Linked DNA regions of Notamacropus eugenii. The protein of the gene in region 2 interacts with the protein of the main gene of each other region in a pairwise test. Links are inferred from orthologs where the notes say so. Each region holds a gene or a part of one and is shown on either strand. Other genes may lie near its edges.

What was found.
Region 1: the proteins of ZBTB8A (region 2) and RAD23A interact in binary tests that used the Homo sapiens proteins (3 or more experiments, as listed by UniProt). The two-hybrid records come from large-scale screens. The link is inferred for Notamacropus eugenii from reciprocal best matches to the Homo sapiens genes ZBTB8A and RAD23A.

What each region holds. Positions count from the first base shown.
Region 1 is NC_092875.1:77,924,017-77,931,787, forward strand, and holds the start of RAD23A (UV excision repair protein RAD23 homolog A), read right to left. Parts: upstream 3,087-7,771; 5' UTR 3,024-3,086; coding exon 2,850-3,023; intron 1,848-2,849; coding exon 1,686-1,847; intron 1,513-1,685; coding exon 1,319-1,512; intron 1-1,318. Other genes in the region: CALR (calreticulin), read right to left, coding at 7,638-7,771. UniProt on the Homo sapiens protein: Multiubiquitin chain receptor involved in modulation of proteasomal degradation. Binds to 'Lys-48'-linked polyubiquitin chains in a length-dependent manner and with a lower affinity to 'Lys-63'-linked polyubiquitin chains.
Region 2 is NC_092876.1:77,436,663-77,443,879, reverse strand, and holds the start of ZBTB8A (zinc finger and BTB domain-containing protein 8A), read left to right. Parts: upstream 1-4,116; 5' UTR 4,117-7,217. UniProt on the Homo sapiens protein: May be involved in transcriptional regulation.

The DNA.
Region 1 (7,771 bases), on a different chromosome or scaffold from region 2:
CAGCACAGCGCCCATGGTGATAATCTGGGAGTTGTCACAGACTACAAACAACACAATTCTGCAATGTGACAAAACGGCCAAAAAAGTAAAGTTAGAACAATCCAAGGCTGCTATGAGAGTCACACTGTTCAAAGCAAAGAAGGCAAAAGTTCTGCTCTATTCTGCCCTTATCAAACCGCCTGAGAGGCAAGTAGGATGGTAAAAGAATGGGAGAACAAGCTGTGAGGAGGAGCTGAAGGAACTGAGGAAGTTTGGGGTAGAAAAGGGAACATCTGAGGCTACAAGGGAGCAGGTTAAGATCTGAAGGGCTATCCCGTGGAGAACTGCTTCTGCTTGATCTAAGGACAGAAATAAGAGCAATGGGAAGTTGCTAAGAAATAGATTAAGGCTTAATGTAAGCAAAATCTTCCTAACTAGGAGAGCTGTCCCAAAGAAGCATGAGGCTGCCTTGGGAGGTAGTGAGGTCCCCTTCACTAGGAGTCTTCAGGAGAAGCCAGGCAACCATGGATTAGAGGTGTTGTTAGAAAAGATTCTTGCTTAGGACCCAGTTGGATTCAGATGGCCTCTGAGATCCCATTCCTTCATTCAGACTCTGTGCCCTCTGATTCAGGCTCCTCAAAGGGCTGCTCACCTCTCTCTCGCCATCCTAGGGGCCCTGGATCTCTGGGAGTGGGGACAGAAGACAACAAACCCAGAGATGCATTGGAGCAGTCTCATATATGTGAGACTTGGATCAGATTCATCCTGCTGGGCTCCAAAGGGTAAAACTTAGATTGCAAAATCATCTAATTTGAGCTGGAAGGGACTTTGGAAATCATCTAGTCAACCCTCTCATTTTACAGATGAGGAAACTGAGCCCCAGGGAATGTTAAGTAATGTATACAAGTTCACATAACATAAAGTGTAAGCCATAGGACTTGAACCCAGATCCTCAGACACCAGAGCCAGTGACCTGCAGTACACTGTACAATGCACTGAATGGAAAAGGTACAAGTTGTAGGTAGGCAGATTTTGACTCAATTTAAAGAATATTTTCTAAAAACTTAGAGATGTCCAAGAATGAAATGGGCTGCCTCAGGATTTAGTTCCCTGTTACTGGAAGTCTTAAAGCAGAGGTTGGATGATAAAATGATCAGAAATGACACAGAAGGAATGTCATTTAACCCCTTTTTAGGCCTTGGCTGCCTTGTTTATAAATGAAGGAACTGGAATTGATGCCCTCTGAGGTCCCTTTCCAATACAGAGATCCTGGGAAAGCATGAGAAAAGGAAAGTCCAGAGCTCATGAGTCCCCCAACCCCAACCTGGGAAGGCCTTACCCAGGCCCAGCCTCTGGAGGTGTCCCAGCAGCTGACTCTTCTGTGGACTTCTTCTCCTCACTGGGTGCTGGCGGGGGTAGGGGCATGGCAACAATGGTGGGAGCTGGTGGGGCAGGTGTGGAGGGCTCCGGGGTGTTGGCAGCAGCAGGGGCAGAGGGCTCCGGAGGTGCCGAAGTGGCAAGCCCAGCTTTGGCCTGGGAGGGCCAAAGAGAAGATAGGTCAGAGCCTTGTTTTTATCAGCTCCAACAGAGCTGGGGGACCAGACCCCACCCTCACCAGGCCTAATCTATCTAGGACACAGATGGGCACACACCATAGTTGGAATATCTTCTAGTCTCCTCTACCCCAGGAGCCTACTGGTCCTTACCTTAGTCACCATGACGACCACAAAGTTTTTCTCATCAATCTTATAGTCTCTGATAGGGACATCGTCACTGAGGATCTTTCCTGCATAGATAAGCTTCTGTCCAGACACAGGGAAGGCATCACGACCCTTTTCTGCCTCAATCTTCTCCTTGAGCACCTTCACCTGAGGAGAAAATCACAGAATTTAGGTCAGGAAAGACCCTTAGAAAAAGAATCCAACCTCATCCTTTTACAGATAGGGAAACTGAGACCCAAAACACAAAGGATTTGTCCAAGGGTTACAAAGTGAGAGTCAAGAGATCGGGGAGGGGAAGGAAGGGTAGAGTCTTATAGACTGGGTCCTCAGAACTCTGGGGACCACAGGAGGAAAGGGGAACAGATGCCAATATGGAGAGTCGCCCAGGCTAGAAGTCAGGAGCTGGAATTTCTCATCCCAGCTCTTGCTCACTATATGAACCTAAGCAAGTCCCTTTTTTCCTGGGCTTCAGTTTCCTCATCTTTCCTATGAGCAGAGGATTTAGAGATCAGGGGATTTAGAAGGGCCCTTGGAGTCTGTAAAAGGAGGGATAATCCCTTCCCTGCCTCAGCCCGCAGTCAGTACCACAGCTGAAGCAAAGGTCCAGGATATGCAGGGCTCCCAGCGCTTCTTTGTCTGCCTGTGTCACCCTCGCCTCTCCCCCTCGTACCTCCGGTACTTGTGGGGACAGTTCTCCCCCCACTACCTACTCGGCAGTGTTGTTGGGTGGGGGGAGCTATAGCTCACTATCCAAAGTAAGTCACTGCTGTCGTCATCATCATCATCATCTTTACCTTCATCGCCCAGGGCTACCGGGGCTTCCCCAACAGAGGACCAGAGCTCTGCCAGCAGCCTCCCCCTTGTCCAAAAAGTAGCTCTGGGGGTGGCTCCCCATCCCCGCCCCCAAAGGCCCAGAGAGACAGGGTGGGCGCTGACCGCTGAAGGAGAGCGTGGTGGTAACGGGGAGAGGGGGGACTTGGGGGACCTGGAAGGGGGAGAGGGTTCAGGGAAGGGGAGGGAGGTCCGCTAATGACAGCAAGGGGGAGGGGGTGGAAGGGGCTGCGTCTGGCCCGCCCCGCGGGGAGAAGGGCGAAGGCGAGTCGGACTTGTGCTGTCCCGTCCCGGCCTCCGTCCCCGTCCCGGCCTCACCGTCTCCCCCGGCTCCATGCGGATCTTAAACGTTTGTTGCTGCAGCGTCTTCAAGGTGACGGTGACGGCCATGGCTGGGCCGGGGGGCGGCGGCAGCGACTGCTTCCGTCCGTCCGGTCCGTCCCTCACTCCGTCCGACGCGGCGGCCCCGGGACAGTAGACACACGGGAACATGCAACTCACGCCGCCGCCATCTTAGCGCCCTGAGCCACGCCGGGAACTGCTTCCCGGTCATGCGCGCCTCGTGACGAGACCGAGGAGGGAGAGGCGCGAGCGCAGCGACCCCGATCACGTGACGGGGGTCGATGAACGGAAAAAAAAGGAATTTTCTCTCCCGGTCATGCGTACTGAGGAACCACCTTGTCGCTGTCGCAGGGGCAGCACACCTCTGCCCCCCCATTCTCCCCTGGAGTTTGCGCACTAGAGGCTCCTCGTATGGTGACGTCATTGTTTGGGTGGCGTCATGTTGTCACAAAATGGCCCCAGGAGATCATAGTGTGATAGTTAGGGCTGCAAGGGACTTTACAAGTCCAACCGTTTCTTTTACAGATGAGGAAATTGAGGCCCAGAAATGCTTCAGTGACTTGTCCAAGGTCACACAGGTAGCAAACAGAAGAACAAGCCTGGTGCTGTCACCTCCAGGGCGGGGGGAGCCAGGTTTCCCCCATCCCCCATCCCCTACATTCCTACATCCCCTACACCTTCCAGCCTGTCCCCTCCCAGCAAAGTCCATATCCTGTGCTTTCAAGAAAATCCCAGTTGTTTGGGGAAATAGCCTCGCTTGGATCACCCGGTGCTACGCATCTCTTGGTCCTGAGGCTTTCACCGACTCCTCTGGGCGAAGCTCCAGACACGAACACAACATCCGGCCTCTCGCCGCTCTCCAGGAGGTCCCCTCTGTTAGGAGGTCATCACGTAGGGGAGGTCTCAGCTCAGAGTCAGAGGGTGGGGTCAGATCTCCCACCAGTGCGGACTCCTTACGTGATGGCTTCGCAGGTTACGCCACACTTCCCAAGCTAGATTTTTGTCCATCTGGGACCCAGTTCAGCATTTTATACAGTGTAGTCAACGTTTGTTGAATTCCATTGACAAGCTTAATATCAAAAAATGTAGTTGGGGGGAAAATGCAGTGGAATATCTCTCACTTCCAACTTGATAAGAACTCCCGGCTTCCTTCAAAGCTCAGGTGTACCACCTCCACAGGAAGCCTCTCTTGTTCCCCTCCCCCACTGTGAATTATCTCTAGAAATTTCTCATATTTACTTATGCAGGGATGTGCTGGTAAATTTTTAACATACTCTGCAAAAATAAAAAAGGTAGCACAACACCCTTTTAAGTTTAATTTGCATTATTAACATTTTCATCACATTTTAGAGCAGTGATATCAATAGAAATGGTGGTCACTGAAGTACATAAGAATCCCCGTAGGACACATAGTGACTTAGAAAAGCACATATTAATATTACCAGTGTTTTGTAATCTTTTTATTTATAGAAGTGTTGTGGGCTTGCAGGTTTAGTGTTCAATACATCTGGTCTACAGTATAACCAACAAACAATAAATCATGTTTGCTAATTTTCAAGGTATAAAAGCACACACTGAAATGTAAACAATCAGCGTGATTGGCTCAATAGCTGCCGTGCATCGCTGCTTATAAATGAACATGTATTCCCAGCGGAATGTAAGCTTGAGAGTTTCCAGCCTCTAGAACACTGTGGCCCTTATTGCTACTGTAGCTGTTGCTGCTGAGTTTTCTTTTAATATTGTATTTGGGGTTTTCTCGGCAGATAAAACAGGGTGAAGTGACTTGCCCAGGGTCTAGTAAGTGTGTAAGGCCAGATTTGAACGCAGGAAGATGTATCTTCCTAACTTCAGGCCAGGCATTCTATCCACTGTGCCACTGTGTAAGCCTTAATGATAGTCAAATTTCATTCTAGTTCATCTTTCTCATCCACCAGTTTGCTAAGTTCACTGAGTAAACATATTAATGAACAAGCATTTTATTAAGCAAATACCATTCGTCAAGCATCGTACTAAGTACCGGGGATATAAATACTAGTCCTGCTAGATTCTAGTAAGAGACGACATAGGGGAATAGTTGTGGCAAGGGAGGGACACTTGATTCTAGAAAGTACAAAGGGGCAATAGCCGATATAGCCTATCAGTTATGACCAGCACTAATTTTCTCAAACACACAAAATGAGAGATCTGAACTTCAGGGAGGATACAACTTAAGAGCAGGTATACAATGAGTTAAGGGACTTGTATCTTTATTCCGCTGGTCCTCTGGGATCTCTGGGGGACCTCAAATGACATTACAATAACGGAAGGAGGCTTGGAGGCCATTTCATCTATCCCTGTGCAGAGATCCCTTTACTAACAGCGCTAACAGATGGCTCACAAGCCCTAGTGAAGAGACACCCAACATGACTGTTTGTCACAAAGTAACTTCCATTCTGTGATCTTAGTTCTGAGCCCAAAAGACTTCAACCTTAATAAGTCCTCTCCTTGAAGGCCTCACCTCACCTGTCTCTTTACCCAAGCCCAACAGCCATCCTTTCCTACCCCAATCTTTTAAGGCTTGAGGATCCTCATTATCTTGTTTGTTGACCTCTTTTGGATGGGTAATCTAGATGGCACACAATGGAAACAGAGAGCTGGGCATGGAGTCATAAAGACTCAAGTTCAGATTCCCACCTCAGACTCTGTCCAGCAAGTCACTTAATCTGTGTCAGTCAACCCATCTGTAAATGAAGATAATAGCATCTACCTCCCAGGGTTGTTGTGAGGACCAAATGGGATCTGGAACACAGTAAGCACTATAAAAATGTTAGCTGTTGTCCTTTCTAGGCTCTCCTTTGGAGACCTCACCTGTCAGATCAATCATTCCTGGGGCTCTCTCTGGACTTGACTAGTCCCTGGCGCTCTCTTCTCTCTAGTATTTGCTAGCAATCTGCACAGCTTGAGGCCCAGTTATCAAGCTGGAGCCCAGTACCAAATTCTCCCAACTTCCCAATCTTGACAACAGCCACACCCTCCTTAGGCCCCTCATTCAGGGACTCAGCCCCAATATAGTTCCACTTTCATTTCCTCTATTCAAGCAACTTAATGCCTGTCATGAACAAAGCAGTCTATGCTAGACCTTGGTGATAGAAACAGCTACAATCAAGGGCTCTCAACTTCATGGTCTAACACATAAATATCTTGATCACAACACAAACTATAAAAACCAGTCCTCATCCTGTCATTCTGGCAAGAAATTAGGATAATTTCAACTCACCAAACCCTATATACATACTCTGACACAGCAATCACTGGGATTTATGTACGCCACACTAAGTGATCAAGAGGGAAAAGGGCCCATATAAATAAAGTGGGTGGTCATTATTTGGGGATGACAATTTCTGCAATTTCAGGGGGGAAGAATAGAAACTTTATGTAATAATGCAGAGTAGTACAGAGCCAGAATTCATATGCTGATGATAAAAATAACTCTAAAAGAAAAAAGCACTTTTATCAATGAAATTACCAGTGATAACTGTAGAAAACTTGGAGCAGGCTTCCCTTCAAAGAGTGGACAGACTGGTACAGAATGAATATACATTTTCAGACACTGCTATTATGTGAATTTTTTTCCCTTGACTCTGTTACCAGGGAGGGTAGAGAGCTTTGTATTGGGAGTGGTGGCTAGTGATACTGATGGGAAAGAAAATTTTAAAGACTCAATAAAAAAATAAGTTACCCAGAAGAAAGAAGTTAGGTGGTAAAGGTTCTGACAGTGTTATTATTACGTTAAATCTTACTTATAAACTCAAAACTGAATAGTTACTGTTAACAGGTCCTCCCAAAAAGCTTTCCTTCATAATCCAGTCTTTTGGCTCCTGGAGAGAGGCCATGGACCAGGATCTCTCCTGTTGTTTGGAACTCTGAGCCCTACAGCACAGGTGGGGAAAAGAAGCTGACCAGAGGCACAGAGGCCATCTTCTCTGGCCAGAGCAGCCACTAGACAGACACTTCACACTGACCAGAACCCCAGGGATCTATCTGTTCCACCCCACTAGCTTAGGGCTGGGCAGCAGTTCAGAAAACTGAGAAGCTTACACTGCTCCCCTCTCCAAGAAATCAAACACATGAGGGAGACACAAAACTTAATTTAATAGAAATTTCTTTTTTTGTTGTTCTTACATTCTCAATGTGACCAAGCAAGAACTGACAACCCCTCCCTAACCCTCCCCCCCACAACAGGGGCTCTGCCCCCACCCCTGCCCTCAGCCCAGGCAGAGGGGAAAAAAGGGAGCAAAGAGTTTGGCTTAGGCACTGTTGGCCAAACCCTAGCCCCCCTCAGTGCTATGGGATACCTAAGGGCAGGGCCAGGCTGACTGACCCCCCTCCTCCTCCTCTCTGGCTCCTGAGGATGGGGTAAAAACAGAGGAGCCAGGACTTGAGGCCAGTTGGGGAAAGGAGGCAGCTTAGTATCGGAAGTCTCTATCCCTGGGTAGTCAACAGGGAGGCTGAGCATCCATGCAGAGTGACACCTTGGATCCCCATGCCCCTGAGCCCATGGCTGAAGGGTGCCCCCCACTATCTGCCATTCCCAAGAGGCTCTTGAGGGCAGAGGGACCTGAGGGAGAGTGGATGAAACCGACACCAGTTTAAAAAACAACAAAAACAAAAACCCACCCAGCCCCAAACAACCCCACCTATTGGAAACAGTTCTCCAGTCTCATAGAGACATTAGTTGGCTCCTGGCCTGGCCCCCCAGGGTGCTTCCAGCCTCAGTCCTGGCCCCTACAGCTCATCCTTGGGCTGGGCACCATCCTCATCTTCCTCATCGTCCTTCTCGTCCTCTTCTTCATCCTCCCTGTCCTCCTCATCTTTGTCCTCTCCGGCCTCTTCTTCCTCCTTCAGCTTCTTTTCCTCTT
Region 2 (7,217 bases):
TGATGGTGCTTCCATCAAAGAGGGGTTTTTTCAATTCAGATACTGTGAATTCTAAATTTTATTTTAGTGTAAGGGTTTAAATGAGGAGTTAATTCTGAAAACCAGTAAAACACTTGAATGTAAAATAAGACGTCTATCCAGAGGTGATGGACAAGGAAGCTCTGTGACAGATATCTAAGTCTCCTCCCAACTCTAAGATTCCAGGATTCTATGATCTCAAGATTTGAAAGTTCCAAGATGCCAGCATCTAAGGACTTGGTGGCTCCAGGATTCCCTTTTTCAAGTTTTCAGAGGAATCTAAAATTCTAGGACTCAAGAGTCTGTAATATGTTGATTAAGTAGGTAAGCATGGAAAGCACATAATAAACTCAGAAGACACTGATAGCAATTTTTCATAATAAATCAAAGGGCTGTCCTGCTCCCTCTCTGAGGACGCACTATAAAGTGAGCCTTACATGGCCGGTAGCAGAGCCCCTGTGGCAGCTCACCGAATGTTAAATCTGAGTGGAATCTTAAAGATGATTGAGTCCAAACCCCTCATTTTACAGGTGAGGAAACTGAAACCCTAATGGTCAAATGGTTTGTCCCGAATCATACAAGGGATCAGTGATAGAACTCTTCCAGCCTTTGAAGTTCAGTGGCGCCCCCCACCTAGCACATGTTTTGTGATTCCAGAAGCATTCCACAGGGTCATAGATGTCTAGTCCATTTTACAGAAAAATCTTGAGTCCCAGAGATTATGTTACGGGGGTTCAAACCCAATGACTCTAACGCCAAGCTAGCATTCCAATAGAATGTTAGAACAGAAGCGTAAAAAGCAAGTTTTAGTGTCCTGTCCCCATGATCTTTTCAAAGCTTCCACAAGGGACATAGGGAGGCACACAGGGTGAAGAGAAATGCTTGTGAGATCCACTATATTCTTCCACCCTCTTTGCAGTCTTCTTGGGGCTCTGGTGAATATGGCTATTTAGAGGATTAAGGAAATCTTGGGTAATAAAGCCGTCTTTTTAATTGGGCACACTGGTTAAATTTACATTGTGGCCTGATTCTTTGCCTTCTCTTAAGGTATAAATGTGTTTTCCTGAAGGTAGTACAGTAATTTTGTTCTCAGCCTCCTGAGTACATAATTGACTGTATGCCTTATGGAATTAGCTAGGAGCCTAGAAATGATTTATTGGTAAATTACTTTGAACCAGCAAGTCACTGCAAAGAGGTTAGTACAGTATGGGCTTAAATAGCTAGCCAAAGAAAGAGCCAGATTTATGGCTGTTGGAAGAAAAAATTGGAGTGAGGTTTACTATTAAAAAATGAGTCAATGCTAGAAACATTTTCCTTAATATAAAAAACCGGGCACTCTTTCCTGTTGTTTTAAAGGAGAGATCTTAATAGGAGAGATCTTAATAAGACAGAGAAACCCTAAATTTTTGGTGTTGGAGGGATATACAGAAAGCAGTTTTCAGTGATTAAACTTTAAATGTTTGAGATTTTTCTACCTCGCAGTCTAGCTTTTGCACCTATATAAGATCACAGTCCTGTTTGGGACCTTATAACCTGTCTGTATTCCTCAGCATAAAAACATAAATGCCCATTGGGGACTTCTCTATAAGATCCAGTAGGATGGGGAATACATCCTAGAAATGGAAGAATGTCAGTAGTTCATCCTTTTCATACCCTGTATTCCAGAATCAAGAATGCTTGACACACCCTCCCTAATTCCACCCTTCTAAAGCCTTGGGAAGTGGCTGGCTTCCCTTTTTTGCAAAGGTATAGATGGCAGGTAACTAGCCCAAGGTGATAGTTCATTTCAGGTGAAGAAGAAGAATTGAAGAAATCCAGGCTTTGAGGTGTATCCTCAGCCCAGTAAATGGATCATTACTGAATTTGAAAGTAGCAGAGTGGCTTGGAGAAAATGGGATGTGAAATTTCATCCTTGAAAGATTTCCCCAGGATAGAGGACCTTTCCATAATAATGTTTCAACCTATTATGGTCATAGATGGCCCATTATTTCCCCTTCATCTCAATTCTGGAGAGTAATATCCTCACTAGAAACAGTGGCATTCGTGATTATACTCAGCTCACTGGGTTCTGTCATCTTGCTGGAGGAGGTGTGTTTTTTTATGTGCAGTATCAGTTCGTAAACTAAATGTCTATTTATTTTGAATTACTGTCCACATAGGAGATATTTCTGAGCTTTTGTTATTGCCTCTGAACTGTCATTCAATGGAGCTGGTAATGTTTTTATAAGCAGTAAATTCACAGCTGTGCCAGTAGTAATTGAGATTTTGTGTCCCACAGGGAAGTCTTGATGAACCCTTTTCTTTCTGTACATTCAATCCAAGTTCCCCAAGAAATTAAAAAGAAACCTGGAATTGTAGAAATTATGAGCAGAGGAGAAGAAGGAGGATTTGCGTGTGTAATGGAATTTGAAGTGGGGTCCATGGATAGTGGGGACAGGCCTTCCTCATGATGGAGGTGGGGTGGGTGGGTTTGGAATGTAAATACAGATTAGTTGTAGTAGGCTAAGGAATCCTACTGTCTGGTCATTTGGCCAAGAGTTGCTGCTCGGTGTAAATATATGAGTGGTCACTAGACACTGAACATTCTTAGTGAGGTGCTGATCCATGGTCCACAGTTCTACTGTAGAATGAAAACTTCTGGCCATCCTAGGTCATGTCAAACTTAACATGGAGAACGTCCTGGAAATATGGTGCAGTCATACCCAACTCACAAGGGGAGGAGAGAACAGGCAGAAAGGCCTACATACAATGAAGCCAAGACTAGATACAGGAATAAGCCTATCAGACCATTCAGATGACTTTATTTGGGCCTAGAGATTTCCTTGTGTAGAGAGAATAGGATTATCCTTGTGAAATCCTCTGGGGATGCTGGGGCCTTTAAAGGGTTAGGTTAAGAGAAACATTCCCAGGGCACTCTGAGCAGAGAGTCCTATAGCCCTGGGGGCTTGGCTAGGTTGGCCTTTCATTTTCCTGCAGAGTTCATCATCCCATTTGGAAAATTATGCACTTTACTATTTTGTTTGGCCCAGGCCATGTTTGCATTGATTTGTTTCCTTGTACTGTTTGGTCAATCTACCAAGTTCTCTTGCTGTTAGCCAAGTTCTACTGCACCTCCTTTATAGGGCTGAAAAGACATCCTCCTTCTCACATGGCACTTTCTGAGGAAGAAGGAAAACCACTTTGAGTATAGGTAGATTGCTTTGTGTCTAATATGCCCTTTTCTGAGGAGATAGCAAAGAAAACCCTTTCTATTTGGGCACCTTCAAGTGGCAAATGAAAAGCATGGTATTTTCCCAAGGACAGAGAGGCAGCTAAGTAGTACAGTAGACTTGTAGTCAGAAAAAACTGAGTTCATATCCTGTCTCAGCCTTCAGCTGTGTGATGCTAGACAAGTATTTTAACTGCCCTCAATCTTTGTTTCCACATCTGTAAAATAGGAACATAAGTGTACCTACTTTATACGGTTGCTGTGAGGATGAAATAACATGAAAAGTGCTTTGCACACTTTATAAATGTCCTATGTAAATGTTAGCTTTATCATTATCAACATTCACAGTGGACATTTAAGGGTGAGTAAGCATTGTATAGGTAAAGACATTGGACTCAAAATAGCACGACCTGGGTCTCGTGGTTCTTAACTGGATGGTTATGGAGGAGTTGTTTTCTCTGTCTGGATCTAAGTTTCATCATTAGAAAGAGAGAGTAGGCTTTTTCTTTTTGAACCCGGAAGAATAAAAGCGAAGGCAACGAGGAAAAGGTACAAAGAAGCCAGTGTAAGAAATGCTGTCAGGAAACACTTCTAACAATAAGAGCTGTCCAGAAGTAAAACGGACTTCTTAGAGACAGGTGAGCTCCCCCTCCTTTTGGAGGGCTTTGGGCAGAGGTTAGATGATTACTTGTCTAGTATACTATACTGGAGATTCCTTTTTTCCCTTAAGTATAGGGTGGACCAGATGGCTACTGAGGTCCCTTCCAGCTCTTAAATTCTGTGGATCACTTGTAAAAAGCTCAGAGCAGTATTATCTGTTAGTACTCCCTACCTCCCGGGGTTGCTATGAGAAGGATGATTTTTATACTGCAAAGACTATAAAAATGTGACCCATTATTACCACTCTTGGTCTTCAGTACATTATAGAAATGAATTTTCTGCTGATTCAAGACTTAATTATCCGATGACCTTGAATAGTCATCAGATACCTTGCACTTAGTCATAGAATGTCAGAGCTAGGAGCCACTTGTTTGTTGTTCAGTCACGTCCACCTCTTCCTGCTTCCATTTGAGATTTTCTTGGCAGAGTGGTTTGCCATTTCCTTCTCCAGCTCATTTTACAGATGAAAAAATTCAGGCAAATTGGGTTAAGTGATTTGCCCAGGGTCACATAGCTAGTAAGTATCTGAGGCCAGATTTGAACTCAGGAAGATGAGACTTCCTTACTCCTATAGTGCTCTACATTGTACTACCTAGCTAGAGCCACTTAGGATATAATCATTTCTAAAAGGGAAATATTAGGGGCCATAAAAGGGAACACATTTTACAGTCACACAGCGCTACATGGTGGTAGAGCTGGGACGAGAATATATGTCTTCTGTGACTGCTAGTCTAGTGCTTCCCATCAAATTGTGTTGCTGTCACGTAAGTACATCAGTAAACTATTTTGGAAGGAGGTGGTCAGCCATTGTGCAGAGGAAAACATGACTGGGACCTCATGTGATTATATACACTTGTCTTGTGTTGGACATGGCCTGCCAACTTTAAAGTTGGACAAGAAGAGGTCAAGAATCAAATAATAGCTCACATTGCTATAGCACTTTGAGACTCCACTGTACTTTCCTCATAACAATCCTGTGAGTTAGGTAGTGAAAGCATTTTTGTTTTTTGTTTTGGATGAGACCTGTGATTTCATTGGTATAGAGATCAGCAACTGCTCTGTGACTTACACCTTTAGAGAACTACCTGGGGCACCAGGAAGGTAAGTGACTTGCCCAGGATCAAACAAAGAGTATCTGTTAGAGGCAGGATTTAATCCAGGTCTTCCTGACTTCCAAATGGGACCTCTGTCCACTCTCTCAATTTGGCACTGGTAAAAGTATCTTTATCTCGATTTTAGAGATGATGAAACTGAAGCCCAGAAGGATGAAGTGCCTTGCCTAAAGTCACTCAGGGCTGAGACTAGAATCCAAGAAATTCTGATTCTAGGACCAGTGTTATAGCTGTTGTGTCACACTATGCCCTTCAGTACCAGAAAGTTTATTTAGTTCTGTTGTGTTTGATGCACAGGCAGATCAACAACCAGAAAAGTCCAAGCTCTGAATGAAATAGGAATATTAGATCCAACGTGAACCATTTACTTTAAATGAGTATTGTGGGTTGTTGTTTGCATATATTCATGGTCTTGGTCTCCCCTGTGGAAAAAAATGGTGAAATAAGATCCTCAAATTTCCCTTGTGACAACATTACAGGATGAACCCAGTACTCATTGAGAAACGTTAATTGTGCATGATTCAAGAGACTGGGTGGGGCTGTCTTGTTTGAAGCTAAGAAAAAATGACCAGTCATCTTCACTAGCCAATATCTCCCATGTTATTACTGTGTCTAAAATAAAAATGTATCTCCAGTGTTTGGGATCTTAGTGCATCTGAAGGACAGCATCTTTGACAGCATCCTTTATCTAAGTTTTTCTAAAAGGCCTTTATAGTAGTTGCTTCGACTATCAGTGAAAAATGAATGTCTGTTTTTATTACTTACTCCTCCTTCCTCTCTCCCCAAGGAGTATTCCATGTGTTAGTCAGAAGAAAATTCTATCTATTCTAAGATAAAAATGAATCTGGGGCCAGCAAGGGTCCAAATTAGCATCTCATTTAGAAAATGAGCTTGGGAAGAAAAGGGGATGATACCTAAGGTACCATTATTCCTGCTTGGCTTATGCTGAATCACATTATGAAGCCGAAACAAAAAGCTTAGAATGAAAACATCTCTAGCCTTTAGCATAAAAAGACTTTCGTTATCTTATTTGGCAATGTATTCTCAAAAGCCAGTCTGGGTACAGGAATGTCCTGTCCCTTCTAGTACATGTAGTAACTCAAGTAGATCATTGGAAAGCTTGGGCTGAGTAAGGAACTTTCCCATTTTTGGCAGGATCACAGGTTTAGAGCAGGCAGGAATCCTTGGGCTCACCTACAAGGGAGCCCCTTGTTTAAGAGATGAGGAAACTGGGCCCAAAGAAGTGAATGACTTGCCCAAAGTTACACAGATATTAAGTGGCAGATATGGGATTTGAACTCAGCTCTTTTGACCCTACATCTAATACTTTTTTTACCTGGACCGTACTGCTTCCATTGTAAACAAGTTCCATGGGAAAGCTGTGCGACCCTGTACTTACCACTGAGTGACAGTGTTGTTTTTGTGGTACTTGGTGCTGTCTGTAACGTTCTGCCTTAGCAGCATTTCCCTAGAACTACTTTATCACCACACCAGTGGGGCTGGTAACATGTAAAGGGTTGCTTATGCACATTGTGAGTGTGAAATTATAGATTCTTTGCTCTTAGCTGCACATCTTTTGTTTACTTGGGCCTCATTCGTATTCAGGTTTTGGGTTTGATTTCCTGTAACTGAGATGAGGATGACACTTGCTTTATGGGAAAGACTAATGAATGTAAATCACTTTGCAAGCCTTAAGGCACTATATACATGCTGTCCTCCTCCTCCTCCTCATCACTATTATTAGCCTTTAGTTGAGGCAAAGCAACATATCACAAAATAGAATCATTCAGTCAATCAGCTAGCATTTATTAAGTGCCTTCTATGTGTTAGGCACTATATAAGCACTGCAGAGACAAAGAAAGGCAAAACCAACAAAAGACAGCCCTCACTCTCAAGGAGGTAACATGAAACATGAGACAACGTGCAAACAACTATATGTAATTGATATATCCAGGGTAAATTGGAGATGACTCAGAGGCAAGGCATTAAGATTAGGGAGGCATACAAATGGCTTCTTGCAGAAGGTGGGATTTTAGCTGAGACTTGAAAGAAGCCAAATGAAGGCTAGTTTTATGAACTGTACTTTGAAAAGAAAAATTATTGTATTATTCATATCTCTGTTCATGTCTTGGTCTCATGGTGTAAGAGACTACCAGTCTCCCTTTGGAGATGGAATTTTTGCTAATCTGTTTCTCCAATGAGGTGATTAGAGATTTTGA